Linked DNA regions of Macaca mulatta. The protein of the gene in region 5 interacts with the protein of the main gene of each other region in a pairwise test. Links are inferred from orthologs where the notes say so. Each region holds a gene or a part of one and is shown on either strand. Other genes may lie near its edges. The genes, in order: VIM, CCNC, TBC1D22B, RAD23B, PNMA5, ZBTB25 and ZMYND19.

What was found.
Region 1: the proteins of PNMA5 (region 5) and VIM interact in binary tests that used the Homo sapiens proteins (3 or more experiments, as listed by UniProt). The link is inferred for Macaca mulatta from reciprocal best matches to the Homo sapiens genes PNMA5 and VIM.
Region 2: the proteins of PNMA5 (region 5) and CCNC interact in binary tests that used the Homo sapiens proteins (3 or more experiments, as listed by UniProt). The two-hybrid records come from large-scale screens. The link is inferred for Macaca mulatta from reciprocal best matches to the Homo sapiens genes PNMA5 and CCNC.
Region 3: the proteins of PNMA5 (region 5) and TBC1D22B interact in binary tests that used the Homo sapiens proteins (3 or more experiments, as listed by UniProt). The link is inferred for Macaca mulatta from reciprocal best matches to the Homo sapiens genes PNMA5 and TBC1D22B.
Region 4: the proteins of PNMA5 (region 5) and RAD23B interact in binary tests that used the Homo sapiens proteins (3 or more experiments, as listed by UniProt). The two-hybrid records come from large-scale screens. The link is inferred for Macaca mulatta from reciprocal best matches to the Homo sapiens genes PNMA5 and RAD23B.
Region 6: the proteins of PNMA5 (region 5) and ZBTB25 interact in binary tests that used the Homo sapiens proteins (3 or more experiments, as listed by UniProt). The two-hybrid records come from large-scale screens. The link is inferred for Macaca mulatta from reciprocal best matches to the Homo sapiens genes PNMA5 and ZBTB25.
Region 7: the proteins of PNMA5 (region 5) and ZMYND19 interact in binary tests that used the Homo sapiens proteins (3 or more experiments, as listed by UniProt). The two-hybrid records come from large-scale screens. The link is inferred for Macaca mulatta from reciprocal best matches to the Homo sapiens genes PNMA5 and ZMYND19.

Annotation. Positions count from the first base shown.
Region 1 is NC_133414.1:18,791,391-18,794,332, reverse strand, and holds part of VIM (vimentin), read right to left. Parts: intron 1,586-2,942; coding exon 1,490-1,585; intron 1,403-1,489; coding exon 1,241-1,402; intron 489-1,240; coding exon 363-488; intron 12-362; coding exon 1-11. UniProt on the Homo sapiens protein: Vimentins are class-III intermediate filaments found in various non-epithelial cells, especially mesenchymal cells. Vimentin is attached to the nucleus, endoplasmic reticulum, and mitochondria, either laterally or terminally.
Region 2 is NC_133409.1:86,296,615-86,300,715, forward strand, and holds the start of CCNC (cyclin-C), read left to right. Parts: upstream 1-1,296; 5' UTR 1,297-1,429; coding exon 1,430-1,461; intron 1,462-4,101. UniProt on the Homo sapiens protein: Component of the Mediator complex, a coactivator involved in regulated gene transcription of nearly all RNA polymerase II-dependent genes.
Region 3 is NC_133409.1:144,981,018-144,985,310, reverse strand, and holds the start of TBC1D22B (TBC1 domain family member 22B), read left to right. Parts: upstream 1-1,424; 5' UTR 1,425-1,570; coding exon 1,571-1,626; intron 1,627-4,293. UniProt on the Homo sapiens protein: May act as a GTPase-activating protein for Rab family protein(s).
Region 4 is NC_133420.1:51,067,554-51,071,129, reverse strand, and holds part of RAD23B (UV excision repair protein RAD23 homolog B), read left to right. Parts: intron 1-1,154; coding exon 1,155-1,282; intron 1,283-2,086; coding exon 2,087-2,257; intron 2,258-3,576. UniProt on the Homo sapiens protein: Multiubiquitin chain receptor involved in modulation of proteasomal degradation. Binds to polyubiquitin chains.
Region 5 is NC_133426.1:159,265,436-159,269,772, forward strand, and holds the start of PNMA5 (paraneoplastic antigen-like protein 5), read right to left. Parts: upstream 2,811-4,337; 5' UTR 2,680-2,810; exon of another isoform or gene 2,580-2,679; 5' UTR 2,518-2,579; exon of another isoform or gene 2,504-2,517; intron 2,324-2,503; 5' UTR 2,202-2,323; coding exon 855-2,201; 3' UTR 1-854.
Region 6 is NC_133412.1:137,601,715-137,605,877, reverse strand, and holds the start of ZBTB25 (zinc finger and BTB domain-containing protein 25), read left to right. Parts: upstream 1-1,317; 5' UTR 1,318-1,496; intron 1,497-1,498; exon of another isoform or gene 1,499-2,445; coding exon of another isoform or gene 2,446-2,504; exon of another isoform or gene 2,505-2,583; intron 2,584-4,163. UniProt on the Homo sapiens protein: May be involved in transcriptional regulation.
Region 7 is NC_133420.1:4,862,151-4,866,488, reverse strand, and holds the start of ZMYND19 (zinc finger MYND domain-containing protein 19), read right to left. Parts: upstream 2,860-4,338; 5' UTR 2,628-2,859; coding exon 2,577-2,627; intron 1,073-2,576; coding exon 1,013-1,072; intron 196-1,012; coding exon 89-195; intron 1-88. UniProt on the Homo sapiens protein: May be involved as a regulatory molecule in GPR24/MCH-R1 signaling.

The DNA.
Region 1 (2,942 bases), on a different chromosome or scaffold from region 5:
AGGGACTCATTCTGTAGGAGGTGAGAAAGATCTCTGGTGTTATTTCTCAGAAAACCCCAGCTGTTCCCAGAAACATTTACAGACCTTCTGCAATAATTTCCATTAGTGGCAAATGGCGACCACTATAATTTTTGGTGGAGAATACAAGTACCAAGTCCTTCATATGAGAAGCAATGATATATGCAAGCTAAAACCTTCAAGAGCTCCATCAAGTCCATTTTGAGTCTGTCTTGATAATTCATTTTCTTTGCATTAAGGTATAAATTTTTACTCACTTAGCATTTTGTTCAGGTTATCACCATGAGCTTAGTCAACAGAATGAGTCGTTATTTTCCCTCTTTTACTGCAGGGTTGGTACTCACGGTTCCTTTAAGGGCATCCACTTCACAGGTGAGGGATTGCACCTGTCTCCGGTATTCATTGGACTCCTGCTTTGCCTGGCGTAGGGCGTCATTGTTCCGGTTGGCAGCCTCGGAGAGGTCAGCAAACTGTTAGGAAGAAAACAGAAATGTAGATTGCTCACATTCAAGTCTTTTGATTCTCTTAGAAAAAAAATCGTATTTCTCACTGAATGTCTTCCAGTATAGGTTTAAATTTCTGTTTTGAAAGTCAGGGAAAGAGCAGTGGAGTACTGACATTAATATTTTCAAAGTTCACTCTACTATGCTCATTTCAACACAGTGGACGTCAAAGGTATGGCATTGGGGTTTACTTGGAGGCAAGGTTAGGGAAAAGGGAGTCTGCTATTCTGAACGAGGTGATGTGGCCAGGTGTGGTGGCTCACACCTGTAATCCCAACATTTTGGGAGGCTAAGGCGGGTGGATCACCTGAGGTCAGAAGTTTGAGAGCAGCCTGATCAACATGGTGAAACCCCATCTCTACTAAAAAGACAAAAATTAGCCAGACATGGTGGTGCTTGCCTGTGGTCCCAGCTACTTAGGAGGCTGAGACAGGAGAACCACTTGAACTTGGGAGGCGGAGGCTGCCGTGTGCCAAGATGATGCCACTGCGCTTCAGCCTGGGCAGTAGAGCAAGACTCTGTCTCATAAATATACATATATATATATAAAGGAGGTGATGTGAGTGGTGGGAAGGCCGTGGCGACAAACACAATGTGAGCAAGAAGTCAAAGCCAGCTTTGCATTGGAGCTAGAGGATATTTAGGAATCGCACACAGGTATGGGGTATTGAGAACACAATGCTTTTCTTTTGTTCAAGCCACACTGATTTGTTTCCTACCTTGGACTTGTACCATTCTTCTGCCTCCTGCAGGTTCTTGGCAGCCACACTTTCATATTGCTGACGTACGTCACGCAGGGCAGCCGTGAGGTCAGGCTTGGAAACATCCACATCGATCTGGACATGCTGTTCCTGAATCTGAGCCTGCAGCTCCTGGATTTCCTGCAAAAAGAACAGACAGACGGTCAGCTGTGCCAGCCGTGGGGGCTGCCTTACCCTCATTCATTCCCCAAAAGTCACTCCACTAACCTCTTCATGGAGTTTCTTCAAAAAGGCAATCTCTTCTTGCAAAGATTCCACTTTGCGTTCAAGGTCAAGACGTGCCAGAGACGCATTGTCAACATCCTATTTTGAACAGAGAAAAGACAGGACATGGAGGATGTAAAAGTCTATGGCTTATCTCATTTATTTGTCTTAGATTAACCATCTGAACCTAGTCTCCTTACTATAGAAAAGGTGTTGACACATTTTATGACCCTTGAATAGGTTTATAAATCATTCAGTGCTATAATATGCTGTGCTTTCTCCTGCTCACTAATATATTTTAATTGTGACCCCTTGTGTTTTACTCAAGGTGGTGATCGGACAATTTTAAAATAAATAAACGTCCACACACATGGTAAACTGCACTCAATCATGACTGAATCCACATTTTACCAGTGACATTTTAAAATTACTTTTTAAGGCTGGTCATGGTGGCTCTTGCTTGTAATTCCAGCACTTTGGGAGGCCGAGGCGGGTGGATCACTTGAGGTCAGGAGTTTGAGACCAGCCTAGCCAACATGGCGAAACCCCATCTCTACTGAAAATACAAAAATTAGCTGGGTGGGTGGCACACACCTGTAGTCCCAGCTACTTGAGAGGTTGAGGCAGGATAATTTCTTCAACCCTAGGAGGCAGAGGTTGTAGTGAGCTGACATAGCGCCACTGCACTCCAGCCTGGGCAACAGAGTGACACTCTGTCTCAAAAAAGAAAGTAATTCCTTTAATTTAATTACCTTTTAAATCTAGAAAATCTATGCCACAACATTGTTAAGATTTGTTTTGTAATTTCATGGAATAACATGATGATAGAGGTGGACATATTTTCATAACTTCATGTACACTTGAGTACATGGAGAACAGAAACTTGTGCTTCAAGAGTTTTAGCTTTTTTTCCCCACTCAAATCTTTTGAAACTTATCCTTAGGCTCCAAAGCAAATATGCAATCATGTGGCATCCATTGTACAAGGCTAGATTTATATTCAATAATAACCCAATTCAGGATATGCTGCCAAAGATTCAGTTCAGGAAAAATTGGAAAAGAAATGTAACTCTGAACTGTATTTTCTCTGCTTTCTCTGATGGATTTTTCTTCTAAAACTCCTTTGACTCATCCTACAAAGGCGTGTCTTTTTCGCTTGCCACTGTATCCGTTCAGTTGGCCTGTTTCAGAATGACTGGTCAAACTTGCAGAGAATGAAACTACATGAAGGATTTTTGCTGATTCAGCTGTCCTTCTATGTTTCCATTTGTAAAGCTCAACATTCCAATTCAGAACATGTAATCTTGCAACTAAGATTTTATTTCCTCTCAAAAGGATGCGTGAGGATTGTTTATCTTGTCAGCAATTATATTTGGAGTTCAGTTTATAGCCTTATGGTCTTAAACTGTTGAGACTTTTCTATCACCTTAGTGGAAAAATGAATGAAGAGTGGGTGA
Region 2 (4,101 bases), on a different chromosome or scaffold from region 5:
CTCTACTAAAAATACAAAAATTAGCTGGGCGTGGTGGTGCGCGACTGTAGTCCCAGCTACTTGGGAGGCTGAGGCAGGAGAATCTCTTGAACCTGGGAGGCAGAGGTTGCAGTAAGCCTAGATAGCGCCACCGCACTCCAGCCTGGGTGACAGAGCAAGAGTCTGTCTCAAAAAAAAAAAAAAAGAAAAGAAAAAAGAAAAAAAAAGAAAGAAAAAAAAAAAAGAAAGAAATCGCTTGATCCAGGCCGGGCCTGGTAGCTCACACGCCTGTTAATTCCAGCATTTTGGGAGGCTGAGACGAATGGATCACCTGAGGTCAGGAGTTCCAGACCAGCCTGGCGAAATCCCCTCTCCACTAAAAATACAAAGATTAGATGGACGTGGTGGCACGCGCCTGTAATCCCCGTAATCCCAGCTACCGGGGAGGCTGAGGCAGCAGAATCACTTGAACTCGAAAGGTAGAGGTTGCTGTGAGCCAAGATTGTGCCACTGCACTCCATCCTGGGTGACAGACCCAGACTCTGTCTCAAAAGTAAAAAATAGGCCGTGCGCGGTAGCTCACGCCTGTAATCCCAGCACTTTGGGAGGTCGAGGCGGGCGGATCACGAGGTCAGGAGTTTGAGACTATCCTGGCCAACATGGTGAAACCCTATCTCTACTAAAAATACAAAAATTAGCCGGGCGTGGTGGTGCGTGCCTGTAGTCCCAGCTACTCGGGAAGGAGGCTGAGGCAGGAGAATCGCTCGAACTCCTGGAGGCGGAGCTTGCAGTGAGCCGGGATCGCGCCACTGCACTCCAGCCTGGACGACAGAGCAAGGTAAAAAAAACAAAAAACAAAAACAACAACAAAAAAAACTTGATCCGTGAGAACAAAGTCATCTTCATTTATTTCTCTTTCCAATCACAGGTAAAATAAGTCACAAAATCTTTTATTTTATTACAATGCCATTGTTCTGTTTTTGAAGTCCTGGAAGAGGTAATAACAGAACCCCGGAACTCAGCCACTTCGCCCAGGTTAGACCCCTACTCAGCAACTCCAGTGCTGAGGACAGGAGACCGAGCGCCGTGGGCCCCCGGCCAGAACAGGCAAGACGCTCTCGCGAGAGTCTTCCAACCGCCGTGAGCTCTCGTGAGCACTAGTTCTCTTCTATCTCAGCGCCCCCACAGGTCAGCACCTCCCCGCCGGCTCCCTCCGCTACCGCGGGCCGGAACTTTTGTCGATAGGAACGGGTTTGCACAGTTGAGTGTTGTCGGCCGGCGTGAAGGAGACTAGGGGGCCATCCTCTTCCTTTCGCCGTCGCCGCCGCGGAGCGGAGTCGAGCCGAGCTGATTTGATCGAGGAGCGCGGTTACCGGACGGGCTGGGTCTATGGTCGCTCCGCGGGCCGCTCCGCCGGCTGGTGCTTTTTTATCAGGGCAAGCTGTGTTCCATGGCAGGGAACTTTTGGCAGAGCTCCCACTAGTAAGTGATCTTACGTCTTCTCACCTGGGGCCGGTTTTTGGGGGGCTGTGAGGAAGGGGCCTGCGACTCCCTTGGGCCTGGATCCCGGCTCAGTTCCGAGTGCCGGGGTCCTCAAGGGAGACGGCAGCGGCCAGAAGCAAGATGCTCTTTTCTGAGGCGACTCCCCTCCCCGCCCCCAGCCCGTTTCGGGGAGGGAAGGATCTGTGAGGGGGAGGGGTGGGAGAGAGTTTAGTCTCCCAGGAAGAAACGTTTCAGAGTTTAATTTCGGATTTTTAGTTTAACTAGGCCGCAGGGGGTCGGATAGAGTGGGCACAGGTACGGGAAGTGTGACTCAGCTCAAGACTGTGAGGCTACCTGTTCAGGACAGTTGTGGCGTGCTTTTGCTTGGGATTTCTTCGGGTGATTGGCGTCGTGGTCTTTTGTCATTCACTGTATATCTTGAGTGGATTTAATATTCTGAGGAGAGGAGAAAGTCTGGCTTGTTTCTGCCTACTAACCTCTTCTTGCCAGTACTTTATGTCTAGATGGAGTTTTATATTGATAAGGTATAGGGCAGGTGCCCTGTAAACTTATCCATTTCATTAGCCTGTGCCTTATATTTTGTTTTAAAGGCGTATTTTTCCAGTGATTTTGTTTCTCTATTTCTTTAACCTTTTTCATGAATAAGTTCTTGTTTCTGTCAGTGACTATGTGAGAGCTAGAATAATATTAAAAACATTTATCTCTAAATACATTTGTTTAAGCAGGCAGGAAGGTGCGTGATGGGGTTAATTGAACATTGAGTAGGCTTTCCACTGTATAGTTGAAAGATGAACAGAACTTGACAAAGAAGGTATCTTAGTATAATTTTTTATGCTAAGAAAGCATTAGTAAGTAATTTAAATTTCGATTCTGTGAATAGGATCTGTTCCTGATGTTCATTTTTTAGCCCTTTGCAAGGAGAAAAAAGAAACAATGAACTCGGTAACCTATTTAAGGAAAAGCAGGTTTTCCTCTTGCTATAAAGTGATTCTGTGGAGATGACATGTTAAAGAGGCAGGCAACTGATCATATGTGTATGTGTGTGTATATATATGTGTGTGTGTGTATTATATATATGTTGCATTGTTTTCACACACTGAAATATTGCTTGGGCAGAATTAAAGTATCGAAAGTTTAGGTATTGGAGTTAGAGCTCCTGAAAAAAAAATTTAGGTAGTGGAGAAGAGAGATTCTGATAAACTTTGAAAGAAGCCGAGAGAATTGACAAGTAGCTGACTGGTGATTTGTCAGTTTTTCAACTTAAAAAAAAGCTCCTACCTTTTTTCAATGGTGTTCTCATTATGCTTTCATTTATTCATAGCGTTATAAAAACATTTTTTCACTTTTCAAATATAAAATTATTACAAAGTTAAGTGTACTTCTTTGAAACTATTCTCCCAATTCAAATACTCCTAAAAGAAGGGATCACTTTGCCTTGCTCAGATCCCTTGAGCAGTCATAGAGTTTCTTATCTGGAAAAGGTAACAAGTATGGAAGACAAGACAATTCTGGAAAAACAAACAAAAGATTTTGAAAGGCCATTGTTTTAGCTGAATTTGGTGAAAGAGGGCAATTGACATTAAATATGCTATATTTCATGCTTCTAAGATGCATATTTTCACACTTTAACATCTTTGAAATGAGCATGGCAGTTTCTTTCATAGCATATGAAATAATGATGAATCCAAGATGTAATCTTAAATTTGATGAAATGCAGTATTTATAAATTTTTTTAGTTTATCCTGCATACACAGCTCTGAGGAAAATTCATAAAATGTTTGTGAAATTTATGAAATTTATCTTTTTAAAAACATAAAATGACTCTGTGGGGATGAAATTAATTAGCAAACCACAATGTAGTTGAAGTAGAACAAAACACAGTCTGTGACCAAAATGAACTAGAAGGGGACTAAGTATTTGCTGGGTTGATTGAATGCATTAATGAAGGAGTAACAAAAATAGAAACTACAAAACTAACTGTGGATACTTTATTGTGTGAAAAAGGAAACTGAAAATACAGTTACTTAATATCTATAAAATAACATCATAATATTACCATATATGGAATGTAACCAAAGCTTGAATGTATTAGAAAATCAATATCCTGAATAATTGAGAGATAATAGAAATATTCTATTTAATAATACTAAGAAGGAAACATGAAATAAGCCTAAAGAAACAGGAAGAAGATCTTAAAATAGATAACGCTGATGCTAATATATTAAAAGGAAAAAAATTATAAAAGATCATTCTTAGAGTAAACAAAAACAGTAGACGAAACTACTGCTAGTTAAATCAGGGGAGAAAGGAATGATACAAAAATACAAAATTAGGAATGAGAAAAGTAAACCCAAGGGTACTTTTGGGTTATCTCCAGGGTTTTAAATTTGAAAGCCAAAGCAAGTTAAGAGTATTACCCAAGAACTATGCCTTATTTCATGGGTAAATACATCTTTCAAGAGAATCTCCTTTTGAAATTGTTCCATTTCATACAGAAAGAAGAAAAGCTTTCCTTTACAAAGCCATGATAACACTTACAGAAAAATCTAGTAAAGGGAACACTAAAAACAGTCTCACTTTTGAATACTGATGCAAACATTGTAAATGAATTATTACCAA
Region 3 (4,293 bases), on a different chromosome or scaffold from region 5:
TGGCTGTTCAGAATAAAGACAAAACATCAACCTTAACAAAGCCTCAGTACATCCCTCTTTGGGCTTAGTGTGCAGTGCTGGTCACTGCATCCTAAGAAAAAGAAGTGCCAGAGAATGGCAGGTAAAATGATTAAAAGAATACAGGGACTTTTTCTTTCTTTTTTTCCTGGGTTAAATGCCCATGAAGAAAATAAGATGAAAGTGTATAAAAGCATGAAAGATTCAGAAGAAGTAAAAATAGCCCTCATCATCCAATCCTATAATTCTAAAATTAGGGGACAAAAGAAGCTTGAAAATGGGAGTAATGTAGAAACCGTCGTTGGAGGACATACCCGTCGGGGGTCGGGTCTTTATGTATTCTCCAATATGTGGAAGTACATGTGGTAGCTGTAAATGGAGGGTGGCGGGGGAGTGGGGGACACGCAGCCCACCTCAACAGTCCTTCGATGGGACAAAAACCACTCTGGACTGGTGCCCGCTTTCCCTCTCTCCCCAAATCACCACGGAATACAACCACAGAAACTCAAAAACAGCAAAAAACACCGACAAGACATTCAAAGGATTCAAAATGCTAATATTAAATCTCATTGTCTGGGAAAATTAGATTGAAAATAAATTCAAGGGTGCAAGATTTATAACAGATTAACAAGGGAAATTAAGGATGTTGGTGGGGCCGGGAGGAGATACATCCTTAACTTTGTGATTCACACGATGGAGCTATACTGTGTCCTTCAAAGAAATCGTATTTGGTAATCTGAGTTGGACAGCTATGATAAACCATTTCCTATACACCGTTAGCATAGTCAGAAAGTGAGAGTTATGGATTGACATAGGGATTAGATCATTTGAATTTTTCACCCACAGCACAAGTCCTTCAATCGTTTTCAATAAACAGAGGGAGAGGGAGACTCTGATGAACCGTTGCTCACGTGTTGAGCAGTTAGCAATCCCGGGCTATCGGGTCCCTGCTGACCTTCAGAAAAACGAATGGACATCTAAACGGAACGAGGAAGGGAGGGTAATAACCAGAGTGTCATTGAGTTGAGAGATGTTAAAAATGGGCCACAACAAACACATGGGCCTTTACTTTTAGGTCAAATATTCCTATATATAAATACATAGTATGCTCTCTCTTGCCAAAAAATATTAGACTCAGGAACTTCATTCCTCACGAAGAAGATAATCCCCTCTCTTCCTTCCCATAGGTCCCTTACTTTACCTGCTTCTTCCCTCTTGCGGGTTAGGAACTTTGAGCCCCACCTCTCTGCTCGTCCAAGCTCCGCCTTCCCCGTCCACCTGTGTGCCCAGACCCTGACGTTACCCGTTGGCTTCAGCGGCCTGCAGGATTCCGGCTCCCGATTGGTCGGCCCGTCCACGGCTTGCGCAGCCCACCAATGGCAGCGGTGCTGGGTGGAGGGGTGCCCACATCCAAGATGGCGTCCCTAGGAGCTGGGAGCGGGTGACCGGCGGCGGGGAAGCGGCCTGGGTTGGCCCTCAGATTGCGGGGTCTGGGGGCATCTCGCCAGGCAACCCCTTGGCCCGCCTACAAGGCCTTCCCCCTGCCAGAGCAATGGCCGCTGACAACAGCAAGCAGTTTTGGAAGAGGAGCGCTAAGCTGCCGGGGAGGTGAGCCCAGGACGCTGAGAGGGAGAGGGTATTGGACCAAACCCTTCCAGATCCTAATCCCTAAATCCCGCGGCCCTGGGGCGCCACCGAGGCCGGAAGACTGGTTTGGGGCAGCTGTCAGGCAGAGGAGCGAACAGCGAGCTTTGGGGACGGCTGGATGTGGGTGTAGACCGGGGTCTGGGGGCGGAGGTTTCTGGAGGGGTGACCTCAGCGAGAAGGTGGCCGAAGATTGGGCGTAAAGGGGAGTGGAGTTGGGTGAGTAGTCAGTGTCGGCCCTGGTCTCGGGGGTTCCTCCCCAGAGCTGCTTCCCACTCTAATTAGGACTCCCTCTCAGGGGTCTCCACCACGCACAGGTGGTTGGTCGCTCGAGGATGGCTTGCTCCCCCAGCTCGGCACTTACCCGAAGGGTTCTTGTGGGAGTTTGGGGTCGCCTGCCGAGAGGGTTAGGCAGGAAAAGTGAGGACAATTCTCAACTCCGACCTTACTTTATCTTGAGTTGGCCTTTCCCACTGGGAATTATTACAAGGCGACCACAGAATCAGGTTATTCCTTTGGCATTTTCTAAGGATTTGTCCAACCCCAAGTGACTTCTTCCTCCCCTGTATTGTAATGCACTTCTTGTGCAAATGCACTAAATTCTTTCATTCTTCAGTTGTTTAGCTGGAGAGCAGACCTCCTAAGACTACTCCCACCCTCTTTGTGGTGTATGTTGAGACTTTTGGCAAATTATCCATTCATCAGTCTACTGTTGGTTTACTGTTTCAGTTTATTTTGGGCAAAGTCCTGAGAAGTATAAGGAAGAGTGTGTATTTCAGTCGTGAATCTAAGATTTCTGCCAGCCACAGTCTACTTGGTGATGAAATTCATGTTTGGTTGTGCCCCACGTGCTACCTTTTCTAATGGATTCAGGTTTTTTCTTTCTGGGATGATCTTTTGAACTCGTGACTTTTTTTTTTTTTTTTTTTTTTAAGCAAGAGGGAGATGAGGGTCAATAGTGGCTGAGTTAGAGCCTTACTTTTTTTTTTCCCCCCCCCCAATGAAATAGAAATAAGGTCTGACTATGTTTGGGCTGGTCTGTAACTCCTCGCCTCAAGTGATCCTCTTGCCTTGGCCTCCCAAAGTGTTGGGATTGTGGGCGTTAGCCACCATGCCCCACCAAGAGTCTTGTTTTATTAAGGATCCTAGTAGACATATGGAAAATAGGTGGAAATCAGCTTTTAGTAATACTTATTAAATAATAGAAAGATAACATCAGATTAAAGTGCTGCGGACTTGCGGTGTTGATATAACTGTTAAAGATGTTCTGTGTTTTTAGGTAAGCACCACTTCCTGCCAACTGATTCCTTTTCCTTCCTGGTTTAGTGAGCTCTCTAGTTGTGCTAACTGCTATTCTCCGGGGTTTTCCATAGTGAGATCATTAAATTTTGACATCCTAAGATTATAATCAGAATCAATAGGAAGACAGTTGTATCAGGAAGCAGTGCAAGAGATGTGGGACATGGCATGGGCTTCTGTGCCTTCTGACTGGTGGTTGCTATTAACAATCTTTTTTTCCTGTATTTCCTGTATTTGACTCTAAGAACAGTCAACTTTTTTAAAGCACTACTTTTCTGAGATAGGAAGAGAAGTCTTTTCAGTTTCTTCAAGCTTCTGGATTCCCTTTTCATTTCGAAGAATATAGAGAAATAGAGAACTTTTGAGTTCAGAAAGACTTGGGTTACTATTTGGGCTCTCCTGTGTGTGTGACCAAGACAAATAATCTATCTAGGCCTCAGTTTCCTTATCTATGAAATGAGAAATAAAAATACCTTCCTCAGAGTTACTGTGGGGACTAAGTGAAATACCCTATTTGTAAAGAACCTAGGACAGTGTTTATTTAGCACATTATAGTTGCTCAGAAGACAGTAGTTATTAATATTACTGTCATTATTAGAGCAAGTAAACATTTAAAAGAATGTTACTCAGATCCTTACCCCAGCTCATTGTCTTCCTTGTTTGTTTTAAGGTATTCAAATATTGTCACAATTCATAATAATTTTTAGTACCTTACTTGGTAAAGAGAAATATTTTTCAGCTGTGTGCTTTTAGCAGTAAAGCCCACAAGCCTCTGGTCGTGGGAGAAAACTAAGGTTCTTTTAGATAGAAAGGTACTTTGATTTAAAGAAAATATTAGAGCATTTTGTCAAGAATAGAACTTTTGCATCTGTACTCTTTCGGTCTTAGGGAAGAAAAACTTTCTCCTGGGTGGGGAAATGACACAAATGACTGTACTAGACGCATGGCAACTTGGAAATGAAACTGCTTTACTCTTCATTGCAAATTGAAAGGTGAAAAATCAAAGCGATGACAAGATTCTTTCTGTCTGATCATGATCCAACAACCTTAGTGACAACAAATAAAAATTTTATTACATAAAATAACAAGTTACAAATGAATGAAACATTCTTTTTAAAAATAACAGCTTTATTGAGATATTAATATACCATGAAATTCATTCTTTTAAAGTGTACATTTCAGTGGTATTTAGTATATTCATTTATAGTACAGATGGTTTTGTGCAACTATCGCCACTAATTTCAAAACATTTTCATCATCCCGAAAAGAAACTACATACCTGTTTACAGTCACTCCCCATCCACCCCACTCCAGACCCTGGTAACTACTAAT
Region 4 (3,576 bases), on a different chromosome or scaffold from region 5:
TTGAGAGGTTTCAAACCTTGTATCTAGAGGAGAAAGCAGAGCTTGAATTGAAGTCTCCTTACTGGGGTACTGACCATACCCACACATTGCTATAGGTCTGACTACAGAGCAGAACCTGGAACCTGCGGTCGGCTTAGGATTTACGCAGTGTTCTCCTTCGTTCGTTCTTCTGTGTATTAATAAAGTAATATAAACTGTTGATCTTGAAAAGGCCATTCTTTTATGCATTTCCTAGCTCTGATTATGATAGTCACCTCTGGTTGACAGAGGTCACTCAGTGCTTTGTGTACAGTCTCCAGAGGACAGGCCTTTTGTTTGTTGTGATTCAGCATGGGAGTGGAAAGAGATGGCCACAGCTCTGCTTTGGATTTGGGGTTCTGTTCCTTTCAGCACTTATTAGGTAACATAGTCTCTAAGTCTCATTGCCTTCACCTATAAAGCTAGTATTATATGTGGAAGAATAAAAAACCCATGTGCTATGGTCATTTCAGCTTGAATGATTGTCTTCCTGAATAGGAAATTACAACATACATCTAAAAATTCTCTTTTCTTCATTAGTAATCTCAAAAACATAATTCCTTTATGTACGATTTTTGGTTTCCTATAGCATACCAGAGAAGTACCAGCACCCTGAAAAAGCCACAAGTTCTGTATTTTATATTTTATTTGGCATTACTAACATTTATTATTGTGAATGGATTTTAGACTGAAGAGTTTAGGTATATTAGTACTAGATTGCCATACAGCTTATAAAGTAGTGAGTTTTTGTTTTTGTTAGTTGTGGTGTATATTTTTCTTAGGAACTTTTAAGCAACAGGAATAACTTTTAGCACTTTTTATTTTGATAGAACACGCGTAGCGGACAAGTATCTAGGATTATTTTATAACATTGAGTGCCAAGGGCGATTATAGGCAAGTTTGGTTCATGTTACAGTCAGCGTTCTGCACTCCCTGCATTTGCTAATAGGAGTAATTTTTGCCGTATAAAACTTGCAAGTTGATATGGTCGGAAGATTTCATCATTATTTACTTCATTTATTACATCTGAGAAATCATTTTTTACTTGATAGTGTTTGCTGTGTAAATGTATTGTTTAACCACTCTTTGTATATGTATTTACTGCTTTTGTTTAAAAACGTTTATGTGTATTTTAGGACATCCCCTTGAATTTTTACGGAATCAACCTCAGTTTCAACAGATGAGACAAATTATTCAACAGAATCCTTCCCTGCTTCCAGCATTACTACAGCAGATAGGTCGAGAGAATCCTCAGTTACTTCAGGTGACTAATCAGTGTCAGTTTCACAAGTAGGTTAGAGTGTATCACATTTTGAAAAAGTCCATGAACGGTCCTTCCCCGCCTCAAATACAACTCTGTATTTGAGAATGGTGAATGTATTCTTCCAAGCTACACTTAGTAAAATATTGTAATCTGGATAGGTGTACTCAAATAACAGTTGGGATATAGAGGTTGGGTTAAATTAAGTTGACCAAATAATAATAAGTTTGGGAAACATTTTATATTTCCTTCTTGGAGATTCCCAGTAGACATTAATATGTTAAAGAATTTGGGAAGCTGTTTAACAAAGAAACTGCCTAACTTTAAATCACTTTTCACAAGCTTATTTCTTAGTTCCTTTTTCTTAGGAACTTCTAAGCAATAGGAACAACTTACTCTTAGAAAAAATAGGTGTGGGGCTTCTTTAATGCTCAGATCACCAAGTATTTTGAATTTTATACAGCATTTTAGTGCCCACTAGTGTGGAAGGTAAAAGTATATGCAAGTATAAAGAATAAGTTCTGTTCTTACAGTGCCACAGTAGTTTGCTTGTTTGTTTTTTAGCACAGGAGGCTCAGAGCCTTAAGAATTTGAATTTCTTCACTGTTTACTTTGCCCAAAAGTACTGCATTTCTTTACTAATGTACAAGAAATCACATCCTTCCAAAGACTGAATAATCCAGAATCCCTAAAATACTACGTTTGCAAAAGTGTAGCCTTTTCTCTTAGTAATATTTAGAATTCCTCTGTTCCTGTAGATGCTTAATATCAATGTATTATTTTTCTCTGTCATTCATGTCACCACAGCAAATTAGCCAACACCAGGAGCATTTTATTCAGATGTTAAATGAACCAGTTCAAGAAGCTGGTGGTCAAGGAGGAGGAGGTGGAGGTGGCAGTGGAGGAATTGCAGAAGCTGGAAGTGGTCATATGAACTACATTCAAGTAACGCCTCAGGAAAAAGAAGCTATAGAAAGGGTGAGTTTAAAACTTTAAAAAAGTTAGTTCTTGGCTGGGCTCACTCCTGTAATCCCAGCACTTCGGGAGGCCAAGGTGGGCGGATCACCTGAGGTCAGGAGTTCAAGACCAGCCTGGCCAACATGGTGAAACCTCATCTCTACTAAAAATACAAAAATTAGCTGGGAGTGGTGGCACGCACCTGTAATCTCAGCTACTTGTGAGACTGAGGCAAGAGAATTGCTTGAACCTGGGAGGCAGAGGTTGCAGTGAGCCAAGATTGCGCCACTGCACTCCAGCCTGGGCAACAGAGTGAGACTCTAAAAAATTCCTTAGTCACACTAGCCCCATTTCAAGTGCTCAGAAGTCACATGGGGTTAGTGGCTACTATTGGATAGAACCAATGTAGAACATTTTCATTTACTGGAGATAGTTCTGATGGACAGAGCCAAATAGAGCATTGCCCTATGGATTGCGGTAAAGATAGTCTCCTCTTAACCCTGTTCCGCCATCTTGTCTTCTGTGAAGCCAAAGGACAAGCAGTAAAGGTATAATTTTATTGCTGTGTTAAAATTCAAGAAGAAAAAGTCTTAGAAGTAAATACCCAATTCTAGATTTTTTTCGGGTTTTTATTTGTATTTATTTTTTATCTATATTAAACATCAGAAATCTGCTATCCTGATTCCAGTAACCTAGTTTTTATATCGTGATTAGTTATTCTTTTTCTCCCTCATTTTTACAATAAACAGGGAATCATAGTAATCATAATACTTGCCCTGTCTTATCTTACTAAGTGTTTTGACGTGGAAATCAGATAAAGTGCATATTAGTATGGCTTTCTAAGTAAGTTTTGAAATTGGGAAGTGTTAATTGTTCCCATTTTATTATTGTTTCCCAAGATTGTTTTGGCTGTTCTGGATCTTTTACATTCTTGCACAAATTTTAGCATCAGCTTGTCTGATTCCTGCAAAAAAAAAAAAAAATTCTGGTTGGGATCTTGATAGGGATTGTTTTATTCTATAGATGAAATTTGTGGAGTATTGCCATATTAATAATAAGATTTTTCTATAATTTCTTTCAGTAGTGTTCTGTAGTTTTCAGTGTAGAAGTTGTGCACTACTTTTTAAAAAATTATTCCTAGGTATTTTTATTCTTCTTGATGCTATTATAAATGGATTTTTCTCTTAATTTCATTTTCAGATTGTTCATTGTTAACTATATAAAAAGACAATTTAATTGTGTTTATTGATCTTTTATCTTAAAACCTTCTTGAACTCTTATTTATTCATTAAGTAGTTTGTGCATGTGTTCATTAGGATTTTCCATATACAAGGTCATGT
Region 5 (4,337 bases):
GCTGCTGGCCGAGATCTACACCGGCAAAGCAGAGGTGGAGTTCTTGACACGGAACAGCAGTGAGCAGAGCCTGGGCCTGGTGATGACGCAAACCAAAAACAACTACCCACCCCCAACAAGTCCTCTCTTCTCACACTTCTTCCTCCTCCTTCCCCTCTTCCTCCTTCTCCTCCCCCTCTTCCTCCTCCTTTTCTTCCTGCCCCTCCTTATTCTCCTATTCCTCCTCCTGATCATCCTCTTCTTAATTCTCCTCCTCTTTCTCTTCCTCACTGGTGCAGGGGGTCATGAATGCTGCCTTCCTGGGGCTCCCCTCATGCAGTGTAAATGATCCTAAAGACGGGCTGGACCCTGCAGCCTCCCCTGCCGGGCTTCACTTCTCCCCCACAGCTCTTCCTCAGCAGCCCTGGCTCCTTCTGGCAGAGGCAGGCCCCAGGCAGGCTCCTCCAGGTCCCACATGGCCTGGGTGCCAGTGGGCATTCTCAGCTCAAAGTTCACAGGGTGGATATTTGGGGGTGTCCAGATGACCAGGCCAGAGCCCCCAGCCACACCGTCTTCAGCCCCTGCTTTGTTGGGGTCCCCATCTGAAGCCCAGCCACCCCCTGTGCTAAGTGTAGCTGTTCCCTGCTTGTGTCTCCTATACCTGTTAGGGGCCATGGGCCTGGCCCCCACTGAACCAGATGCTATTTGGTCTAGGTTGGTGAAGTCCCTTCCAGCTGGTGGAAAGTAAAGGGGCTTGATCTTGACCTGGCTTCCCTGTCCCTCTGCCCCAATCAAGTTCCCTGTTAGTGTAAGCTGCCCTTTGTTCAAATGTCCCTGCTGCCTGCCAGGGGAAGGAGTGCTTGGGTCTTCTGAGCCTATGTTTCCCAGGGCTTGGGATGGCTCATGGCCCCAGCCCCTGCCTCGTTTCCCGACTCCTCTCCTGCAGCCTGTGGCCCCTCCCTGCCTGGAGTCTGGTTTTCAGCCTTGGGATACATGGCCTGGCCATAGTCTTCTTCCCTAGTGCTTTCACTGCACGACAGCCGCCTGCGTTTCACTAATGGGGGTAAGCCTCCCTGTACAGTCTGGGTGCTGCTGTCGCTCAAAGACCTTGCCTGCACGGTGGCCTGAGGTGCAGAGGCACTGGCTTCTGCTCTTGCCTGTCTACCAGAGGCCCCCCGGCCTCTCCCTGATGGCTTCTCCTTATTCTTCATCACTGCCTCAGTGTTCTCCCACTCTTCTTCATCTCGAATAAGCTTCATTAACTCCAGAAAATTGGGAGGACACCCTCGCTGATCCAAGAGCTCCAGCTTGCCTCTGAGGGCGGGGGTCATGGAGACCCGAGCTAAGAGATGTTTCAGACGAATCATGTCTGCGCTGCGCACTGACAAGGGGCTCTTCTGCACTGCTTTCTGCAGCAGGGGCTCTAAGCGCAGCAGGAAAGTGGAGACTTTCTCTCCAATCTTCGGAAAGGTCTGCAGAAACTTAAACTGAGAGGCTCTGAAGTCCTCTTTATCCCCAAAGATCTGCTTTAAGGCGTCAAGGCACTGCTCCACAGTTATGGAGTCATTGTTGGCCTGGAGCACCCGCATGATTGACAGAGCAGGCCCTCGTAAGCTCTCCAGCAGACGCCGTCTCTTCTCCATCTCAGACACTTGCCATATGGGCATTATCTCAGTGACCTGCTCCAGCCAGTCTTCAAAGGTCTCTTCACCTGGGCTAGCGGAAGCAGTTCCCGAAAACACTTTCAGTTTCCGGTACCACATACTTTCTTTCAGAGGCTCTAAAGGTGGGGGTCTAACTTGGGGTACGACCTCTGCATCCAGGCTCTCGGCAGGGAGGCTGCAACATCCCAGGGCTCTGGCCACATCTGTCATACTTCGGCCCTCATCTTTCAGGAAGTAGTTCAGTCTAATGAGAAACTCGTCATCTGGGTTACGGGGTTTTACCACCACTTCCCAGGAGCCCCCCTTTCCTGGTATGTGACTAGGCAGAGTAGTGTAATCGACAGTGTCAGCCAATTCAATGAAGACTGCCTTGGCGTTGTCTTCCCTCCTGAACATTCTCCCTAGCACCCTGTATGCGCGCAGGGGCTGTAAGCCTGCCTGCACAGTGTCCTGAATTTCCACCTCACTACACTCCACGGGGATGCCTATGATCAGCAGGGCCTTTCTGGGGTCCATGTCCATCCCCTTGCACCAATCCTCTAGCAGTGTCAATGCCATTGCTCCCACTTTCTATGGACTGATCTAATACTAGGGCAGCAATCAGCTTAGTTTGACAGCACTCAAATAACTCTGAGCCACTGCCACGTAGGAAGGTAGAAGTGGTCCCAGGTTTCCACAGCCTGCAAAGCAAATGGGATGAGAGCATTGTTAATGCCTACCCCAACCTATACCCCCAAGCACCCCTCCTCTGCCCCCACCCCCGAGCAGGGATGGAGTCCCTTCTTCCCAGGGTTCCCCAAGTTATTTTGGGGAGGGTAGAGGGTGGAGGTTCTCCCCAGGCAAAGATCTCCTCATCTCACCACTCCCTGCTGACCTCCTCCTGCTGTGGGTTCCTCCTCGAAGTCCAGAGGACTCTGCTGTGTGTGCTTCGGGTATCTGTAGTGAAAAGGCCAAAGTCAGGAGGCAGGGCCTGACATCTGGGGACACTGACAAGCTCTCCAGGCAGAAGAGGGCAGGAGACGGCCTCACTGCTCACTCAGGGCTATGTGGGCTCAGGTCACCCAGCACCCTCCTTGCTGGAGTGAAGGCTGGCAGCAGGAGAGGTAGAATGGCCCTCTTTCTCAGGAACGCCTGACAGATGAGAAAGATGGCCGAGCTCTGCGCAATGCAATGAGAGTGGTGGGTGTGGAGATTGTGTGACAAGCTGCAGTGTTGCCATGGATACAGAGAATACCATGGACCATGGGTTGCTATTGCAGGGGAGTGTCATGTGGTAAGGCTAAGGTCCTTGAGAAGCAACAGGTGATGTCATTGGCCTCCAACCAATAAAGCTTCCCAGCAAAAAGGAGGGTGGGAGAGGGAAGGCGAGGTGGGCTTGAGGAGTGAGTGCTGAAAGGACAGGAGCTCATGGTTTCAATTGTGTGGAAGCTGAAATCAGGTAGAAAAGGGACCCTGATGAGGTCCCCACTGCCAGACTGCAGGAAACCAACAACTCTTGCCCTAGAGATGGCCCTACCCTGCAGAGTCTGTGAACGCTGGCAGGCAGTCCCCTCTCCACACTCTTTGCAGGGGTTCCAGAGACCCTCCCAACAGGGCCCACCTCACAGCTGCTCACCTTTCTGGGTTGGCCCTGCTGGCAGCGCAGATGCTGCAATAACACAGTCACTTCAGAGTCGCTCTGCTCTTCAACTCTATCCAATTAGGCAGTTCCTGACTCAGGCGTGATGGTTCCTGCTTCCCTGGATCTGTCCAAGGCAAAGCACAGGTATTTTGCTGTGATTCTGTCCCACACACATGTCCCTGCTCAGGCCATGCCAATTCAGATTCTGCATAGGTGTCCACTAGGACCCTGGTGCAGGGGTAGAAGAAACTGCACAACTGGCAGAGGGAAGAGGAGGGGGGAAAGGGGGGAGGGGTGGGGGGGAAGGAGGAGTGGGGGGAAGAATGGCGAGAGGGGTGGGAGGTGAGGAGGGAGGTGGGGGGCGGGGGGGCTGCTGCTAGGGCAGAAGGGATCCTAAGGTAAGGTTGCGGCCCCACCCCCACTGCAAACTTCATTCCCTCCCAAGCCCCACCCCTGCAGCCATGTTGCACCCCTTCCTAAGCCCCACCTCAAAACTTGCACGCCTGCTGCCAAACTCTGCCTACAACTAAGTTGCACCTCTACCCCAAGCCTAGCCCCCCACCAAGTCCAACTCCTTCCACCACCCAAGTCTAACTCCCGCCTCAAGCCCTGCCCTCACCCACAGTCCAACTCCTACCCCAAGCCCTGCCCCCTCACCAAGTCCAACTCCTACCTCCATGCAAGTCTAACTGATGTCCCCAAACCCCCACCTCCATTTCCCTGTTCCCCCAATCCCCACCCTGTTATTTACATACACCCACACCACCGACACCAGTGGAAGCAGGCAGAATCTAGGAGGGGAAGGTTCGAAGCCACTTTCCCTCAAGGGCAAGGGCCAAGAGCTACTGTCCTGACTGCAGTGTCTCCGGGCAGGGTCGAGGGTGGAATACGTCTCCCTGAAGTTTTTTTTTCTTTTTTTTGAAACGGAGTCTCACTCTGTCACCCAGGCTGGAGTGCAGTAGGGTATGATCTCAGCTCACTGCAACCTCCGCCTCCTGGGTTCAAGCGATTCTCCGACCTCAGCCTCCTGAGTAGCCGGGATTACAGGCGTATGCCACCATGCCCGGCTACTT
Region 6 (4,163 bases), on a different chromosome or scaffold from region 5:
CTCAGGGAGGCCGCACGCCCGGGACCTGACGCGCCGGCAACAAGCAGGCGGCCTGGCAGCCGCCCGTCACCGGGTCCTTGCAACGCGTCCGCCGCGCTCCGGCTCCCCGCACGGGTCGGCGCCGCTCCGGCCCCGCACTCCGCCAGGCCCGCGGCCCGTCGCCCTCCGGCCCGGGCGAAAGTTGCGCAAATAGCCCCACAACTGGCAAATACTTACCGGCCGCAGCAGGAACCAGAGCTGCGGAGATTTTAGGGAGTTTAAGGCAAATCAGCCACGGCAAAGGCGGGCGGAGGCGAAGGGGCCGCGAGCTGCAGTGGCGGCGGCGCTCGGCGCTCGGCGCTCGGGTTGGGCTGCGCGGAGAGGCTCTGGCTCTGCCAGGGACTGTGCTGCAACAAAGGACTTCCGCTGCCGCACAGCCGCGCCTGCCGCACCGCACTGAGCCGGCCCCGCTTACGCGGCGACTCCGGGTCTGCCCACCAGTTCGCTGCGGCGTCCGCCAGCCTTCCCCTCCCTCTCGCCCGCCCACCCACTCTGCCGCTGGCTGCTAGGGGCACCCGCGGTCGCCTGTTTGTTGCAACAAGTTTCTGCGTCGGGCTCCGAGGAGGCTGGCGCAACCCGCACCGCGGGGGCTGTCGCGGCAGCGGCGGCTTGACCACCCCTCTCGCCCCTCTCTCAAGGGTAGGCTTGGGACCTCCTCCTCCTCCTGTTTGCACAGCTGGATGTGACTGGGCTCCTCCCGACTCCCCAGGGCAGTATGCGCGGCTGTTTTCCCACTCTGTCCAGATGTCAGACCCCTGCCCCGTTGGGCCCAGCAGCTGGGCCGTCCCTCGCGGTCCGCCTCGAGTGCTTCGGAAACCTCGCTCTGTCCGGTCGGTTCAGGGTCGCCTAGTCCCCGCGCTCCCCCCACCCCACCTTCCGTGGGCCTGTCCGCCTCTGGCCCTGAGTCACTTCCCTCGCCATGCCCCACCTCGCCCAGTCCGCCTCTCCACCCAGGCTCCCGCGGCTCGGCCTCCCTGGCCCCGCGCCCTCATCCCTTCCCCAGCGAACACGCGGGCGCATCCTTCCCCACCCCCACCTTCACCCCAGAACTGAGGGGGTGCCTGTGCTTTTGCACACCCTGGGGAAAGTCCCCGGGTCACGCGGTTGTTTGTGGGGAGCCTGTGACGCTCAGGCTCGTCCCTGTGCTTCCGCCTACAGAGTCACGACTGCGAACTGTAGCGGCAGCGCTCAGAGCGCGGGCCGACCCCCGCCCGGCTGCGGGCGGGAGGGCGCGCACGTACGCACGCACGCACGCACGCACACCCTGGCCTTGGCGCCCCTCGTTCCCCTGCTACCAGACACGCGGTCACGTGGGGCCATCGCGGGCTGCCGGCGCGGGAAGCCGCGCGAGAGCCAGCCGCGGGGTGCGTGAGCCGGCTCCACCGCTTGCTGTGCGCGGCTTGGGAGCCCGCCCCTCCTGCACGGAGGAGTCGGCTTGCCGCCGCGGCGGCATCTGGGTAAGCGACGCGGCCCAGCCCTTGTGGGCTGCCCCGGTCTCAGTCCCTCCCGCCGCGAGCCGCCCAGGGCGGCGGCCTGCAGCTGCACCGGTCGCGGGACAGATGCAAGTAGCTGGGGAGAGGGGTGTTTTTGGTCCCATTGAGATGTCAGGCAGGGCACAGGAGGAAAATACATCCGCGAGTGAGCGCTGGGCCAACAATACCCAGAACCACCCTTTGCTGCTGCTAGGAGCGGCCGCCGGGGCCTGATTCAGGGTGGCACACGGGGTGCCTTGAAGGTGCGGAGCCGTCCGTGCTGCGGGTCCGGGTGCGACCCCTAGCAGGAAACCCCAATAGGCCTGCGGCCTCCCCCGCTTGGCGCCCACCGCTCTTAGGAGCGGGCGACTTTCCATATGCTGCGAGGACGCTGCGGCTAGTGTTTCCACTCCCAGCTTGTGATTACCTAGTTTCTAGGGCAAGAAGACTTTCCCCGCGCCCTCATAATTTATTTTCTGTCTTCAAATGTTTATCTTGTTCTAAGCAAATCCAGTTTTTCTTTTTGAAGCTTGACCCATCACCGCCTTCTCTGGCACTCATTATTTGGAGTAATCAGGTGTTATCAGTTGCGGAGGCAGCGCATAGCACAGCGTAGTACCTGGAACTTGACAGCACCTAGCATGTTTTCAACAGTCAGCGCCCGGGTCTCCCCCAAGGGATTAAATTTGGCATTCTTTCTCTTGAAACTCAAGTTCGTCTGGCAGAGCTATTGATCCTCTCACAAGACTATCAAGTGTGTAGAGTACACTTTGGAATCTCACGTTTTAGAGCTGAGCGGTGCCTTACAGAAAATCTGTTGATCATCACAGAGAAGACACCAGGCCTAAAGAGCGTGATGTAACTGGAGCTAGCTACACCTCTTGATAGCTAAGACTCCAAGGCTCCAGACACCTTGGTGATTGCACTCTCCACTATGCCAGGACCGCAGTGCCAGTTTACCCCACTCACCTGTAGAGAATGTATCCGGCGGAGGTCATTATACTTGGCTTGATTCAGATTATGGAGAAATCAGGCATGGCCACTGTGTGGGTTTGATAGTATTTCTAGTGAGGTAGGCCAGCTATGGTGTATTTTTGGAACTAAAAGCCTTCACCCCTCAGCCACCCCTGAAAATTTCATTGCTGTTCTCTTCAAGAATAACCATTATTTGCAGCATTGGTTGCTTCCTTATGTTAAGGCATCAAAGTCTTCTTTAACAATCTTCATATATTTTAGTTAAGGGCAAATCATGAATCCGTTATCGGACATCAGCTCCTTAACAGGGAACAGAACACTGATGGGATAGGACATGGAATAGATTAGTTCTGAGAGCTGGCAATCAATGAAATATCAAGGTATGGTCAGGAAGAAAGCAGAGAGGAACCCACATAACCTGCTACACCTTTTTTGTCCAGTCCTACCTTGAATGTCTTATTTGCATGTATTAGAGATGGATTCTGCTCAAGTTGGCCGCTGTTTACTGAATACTTGCAGTGGGCGAAGTATCATACTAGCTGCTTTCATAAATGAACTTTGTATCTTTACCAAAAAGGAGATGGTACTGTCTTCATGTTACAAGCCTGAGGAAACAGGCCATTACCTGGGCTGTGGTGATATAGTCATTTGCAGTAGAATTTAAGCCTAGATCGCTTATCTCTCAAGTCCAATCAGTGCTCTTTTGCATTATGTCTTGCTCCTGCTTCAGCCAGGAAGGGAATGAGAGAATCGCCTGTGGCTGATTTATTGGCGCCTGTGGTTGCCCAGAGAGGCCAAGCAGGACTTTCAGCTGCCCTCTATGCCTTACAAAATGGAGCTGTGAGCTTCCACCCTATCTCCTGAGGGGAATGTGAAGGAGCCAGGCTGTCTAGCTGGGGAGGAGGGGCCCAAGTGCCTTGGCCGTAAAATATCCTGGCCAGGGCTGTGCTGGGAAGTGTTGCATAATGCCCTCCCCACCACTGAACCAAAGTGATTTATTTACTATGGTCCGTAGGTGGTGCCTGACCAACTTGTCCGTTTTAGCAATAACAGGGCCAGAAAAGAGTTGGGGGTTTTATGTTATTGCAGGGTTTTTCCTTGTTTTAAACAAGCAGTGCAGGTGCTCTTATCTTGATAAGTTATAAAGTGCTTCTTTCTACACCACTTCCTGTGCCCCTTTTCTGCATATTTATTCCAAATAGCATGTGAACTTCAGTCTTTTAAGGAGAGAAAGCTGAGAAAATACTGCTCTAGTTTATTAGCACAGGCTATGGAGACAGACCTGGCTTTTTATCTCCGCTTTATACCATTTGTTGATTGTGTGTCCTAAGCATAGGATTTTTCCTCATTTGTAAAATGGAAATGAAAATAATACATTAGTCATCACAGTGAGGATTTTAAGAGATAATGTATATACAGCACTTAGCACAAGGCCTTGCATATAGTATTTATTATAATAATAGGTTTTGAAAATAACCAGAATAGCAGTATTCTCCTTAAGAAAGGAAAGATACTGCTATTTGAACCTGCTTAGGGATAGAGGAGGAAGAAGAAAGTGTTTGAAGCAAACACCAGTTTCAGGATTATTTATTAAATTTATTTATACTTCTAGTTTATTTATTTATTTATTTTAGACAGAGTCTACCTCTGTCACCCAGGCTGGAGTGCAGCAGCGTA
Region 7 (4,338 bases), on a different chromosome or scaffold from region 5:
TGGGGCAGGGGGCTCCAGGCGCCCTGTGCCATCGGAGCTCACCCAGGAGCCCAGTGGCAGGGGGCAGAGGCAGCTTGGAAACACCCACCACAGCAGTTCATGAAGGAGTCTCCCAGAGCCCCTTCCTCGGTTCTTGTCAAAGGCATAGGCAAATATCTTAGCACCATTTCCATCTGCATCCACTTCCATTCGGGCCTGAGAAGGAACAAGGGAAAGAGCTGTTAAAAAGCCTCCAATTCTCAGCAACACTTCAATTCCCTCTTAGAAAAACCAAGTGAAACAAGCAAGCCAGAGGGACAAATGCCAGCCCTGTCCCTGAGACCCTGGGGAGTGCAGAGCCTCCCATAGGCACATGGCTCCCAGGGGCCAGCGTGGCCCACCACCACTCTGTCTATCCAGGCAAGAAACACTCACAAACAACTCTGCAAAATACAATGGACATAGACAAATACATTTTCCTACCCTTGAAAAAAGCCCACAGTGCAGTGAGATAGAGAAACCCCTGGACAAGTCACTACTGTGAATGTGTGGGGCACAGAGATAAAGTGTGGTGAGGGAGGCCAAGCTCAGTGGCAGGAACGGAAGCTGGGAAGAGGCAGGAAGACCCCATGAGAGCAGAGAACGGGAGGCAGCTGGGCAGCCAGGAGGGGCTAGCGCAGGCTCAGCAGGTGGCAAGCTCTAAGGAACAAGGTCTTCGAGCTAACAGACATGGTCCACGTGACACAATCGCAAACGTGAGAACATTCCATTTGCTTTCAAGAAGAGCTAACAGCTGAGGTGAAAGTGAGGAAAGACCAGTGTCGCCAAGCCGCGTGGGCCACAGTGGGAGCAACAGCCAGGTTCTGCGGGGCCACGGCTCCATGTGGGGCTGAGGGCTCAGGGCTCACAGCCAGCCCCAGATGTCCACTTGTGGGGCCACCTGCTCTTGCAGCACAGGGGAGGGCTCGCTCCTCGTGACCCTCCTGGGCACTGACCACAAGCATTAAGGGAGGGAACAGGCATCCTTACTTACCTCAAAGGAGTAGCTTTCCACCAGCGGGATGTCCTGTTCATCGATCAGCGTGTATTTGGTCTGAAAGTTAACCACATGTTTCAAATCATTACATTTGAGATCTGCGTGAGGTGCAGTAACCTTATAACCAGAACAGGCAGGAGCCTGTTGCATTTTCCTGTGAAGTGGAAAGTAACCACAGGCGTCTTCAGACCAAGACAGCTCAGCACACGGGGGCCTCATTCCACCATCTGGGGTGGTGCAGTCTACGCCAAAACACAGGCAGACTGGTTAAAAGACAGCAGACCACTTTCATCTGCTCCAGAGGAGCTGGTATCAGGCCTCATCCTCGCAGGCCTAACTCCAACAGTGGCACGGAACATTTAACACACCAATAAACCTAGGCAGAAACGGTTTCACTGAGCTGAGGGAGGGTCCAAGGCTGAGGCAGAAGAGCCAGAAGGTTATGATTAGGGTGTGTTTATTAAGCTGAGCTGCTCATTGAATTGCCCTTTTCAGTTTTTTGTCCATCTGAAATGTTCCAAAGAAAAGCTGTAAGGGATGACAATGTCATCGGTGGTGGAATCAGAAGGGGTCTCAGGTCTCTGACCTGACTGGGGAGCCCACCCTTCCCTGGTGGAAAAAAGCCTCCTCCCCAGCAGGCCCTGCCTATGCTCTTGCAGCAGGGGCAGGAAACAGGAACAGGTCCCAGAACGGGCCAGTCTCCCTCTTGGCAGTTTTTCTTCTGGGATCTGAAGCTGTTTTACCTGACGCCGCCTGACACTGCCTCCGCTCCTCTCTCCCACCAGAAGCTGCAGCCGCTGGTGACGGCAACAGGGCTCCCATCCGGGTAAGGACCCCGGCTGGTGCAGCTGCACAGGTGGCTCCGAGAAACCGCCAAGCCTCAGTGCCCACAGGTGCCATGGAATCCCCAGCCTCAAACGTGCAGCGTGGGGGCCAGGTAAGAAGAGAAATCGAGGAAGGCCCTGAGTCTGCATCAGGGCCCAGGCTTCTTCCTCTCTGCTCTGAGCCCGAGGCTCAGCCTAACCTGGCCAACCCCTGGCAGCGTTAAAACGAGCCCGAAGCCCTGCTGAGAACTGGGAGGCAGAGAAGAGCCCACACCAGACCCGCCTCGGCGAGAGGTGTGGAGGTGGCGCTGCCTCGGAAAGGGCGCTGTGTTTAAACCGTGTGGCCGCACCGGCAGCCCGGACGCCGCGCTAGGCCCCGGCTCCCCGACACCACGGGGAGGGCTCCGGGAGAACGCGGCCGGGCTCGAGCCACGCATCTCCGCGCCCGGCTCGGGACAGGGCCGTGGCCTCCGCCTCCGGCAGGGCAGGGCCGAGGGCGGCCAGGTGCGCCCCGCCGCCGAGGGGTGCGCGCCCGCCGGCCTGCGAGAGGAAGCTGCACCCGCGCGGGGCCAGCAGCCGGGCCCGCGCAGCGTCCCCCGCCCCGCTGGGGCCCATCCCGGGCTCCGCGCCCCCGCCCCGGCCGCCGCCCGCACAACCGCCCCCGGCCCCGGCCCCCGGCCCCGCGCGGAGGCCAGGACGGGCGAGACGGGCCGGGCCGCGGGCTCCGCGCCGCTCACCTTCCCGGCCACCCGGCCGAGCCGCACGATACCCAATTTGAAGTCGGTCATGGCCGGGCCTGCGCTCTCGGCCGGCAGCGCCGCTCCCTCGGGAGGCGCCGGGCGGGGGCCGGGGCGAGGCCGCGGCGCGCCGGGGCAGGACGGGACCGGAGCCGGGGTCGGGGTAGCAGCCAGGCGGGCCCCGGGCGGGACGAGGCTGGGCCGGGCTCGGGCCTCCGCCGCCGCCTCGCGCCCGCCGGACCTGCCACGCGCCGCCGCCGCTGCCGCCGCCACCGCGCGCACCACAGCGAGCGGAGCGGAGGGGCGGGGCGCAGCCCGGGACACACCCCCCGGCCCGCCGCCGCTCGGCCAATCGCTAGGCGCGCACGGCGCCGGCCGGAGCGCGCCGCGCCGCAGCAACCAATGGGAGGAGGGCGAGTGCGCCGGCGCTCTGGGGAGCGGGGCGAGCGCGGGGGAGGGGCGAGGTCGGGGGCGGTGCCTGCGCGCGCCGACGTCAGTTTCGCGGGAAGCTTTGTGCGGGCCGCCGCGCTGCTCCTGGAGGCGCCGTGCGGAGCGCGGCTGGGGACTCGCGCCGGGTCTGTGGCGCTCTGCGAGCTGGACGCCCTTCTCCTCCCTTGCAGTGGCCCTCGTAAGCTGCTTCCCGCCGCCGTCCTGGCCCCAAGCGCGGAAGGAGGAGGCGGACGGAGCGCGTGTGGGGCCCGCTGGGTGGGCGGGGAGCGGGCGAGGCGGGCTAGGAAGAGGCCGTTGCCGCGGGACGCGGGTGCTCCTGGAGAGACCGCGGACGCCCGGCCCACGCGACCCGGAGGGCGCGGCCTCCCCCGCAGCCTTTTCCGAGCCGCCGGTTCCTCAGCCCCGGGGGCGGCTGACCGCCGGAGCAGCCTGGTCCAGGGCGTCTGGAAACGGAACTCCAGTGAGGCCGGTTGGGCTCCGCGGGAATGCCGAGGCCCGCTCAGGGAGGGACTGGGTACGCCGTGGTGGGCAGCGTGGCCTCCCCTGCAGCCTGGAGCGAACGGGGCTAGGTCCTGTGTCCTGCTCCGCCGGTGTCCGGTCGCCCGCGGGGAGGCCTCACCCTGCCGCAAGGGGCGACTCTGCCACCTGAGGAGCTGCCCGGGCCCCTTTCTGGCTTGCTGCGTTCTGTTTTCTTTTCTTTTTTTTTTTTTTTTTGAGACAGTTTTGCTCTGTCACCCAGGCTAGAGTGCAGTGGTACGTCCCCGGCTCACTGCAGCCTCTGCCTCTCGGGTTCAAGCGATTCTCCTGGCTCAGCCCCCAGGTAGCTGGGATTACAGGCACGCGCCACCATGTCTGGCTAATTTTTGTGTTTTTAGTAGAGACGAGGTTTTGCCATGTTGGCCAGGCTGGTCTCGAGGTGATCTGCCCACGTCTGCCTCCCAAAGTGCTGAGATTACAGGTGTGAGCCACCGTGCCCCAGCCTGCAAAGGGTGTTCATGAGTGAGCCCAGACGTTCCATCTCTGGGTCCCCTGGTACTTACCAGTACCCCAGACACCCTAGAGGAGAGAAGGGGATAATGAGTCCTGGCCTGCCTGAGACACACATTGGGATTCAGGCTGGGCCTTGCTCAAAACATACCTGTCCGGCCGGGCGCAGTGGCTCACACCTGTAATCCCAGCACTTTGGGAGGCTGAGGCGGGCGGATCACGAAGTCAGGAGATCGAGACCATCCTAGCTAGTATGGCGAAACCCCGTCTGTACTAAAAATAGAAAAAATTAGTCAGGCGTCCGCCTGTAGTCCCAGCTGCTCGG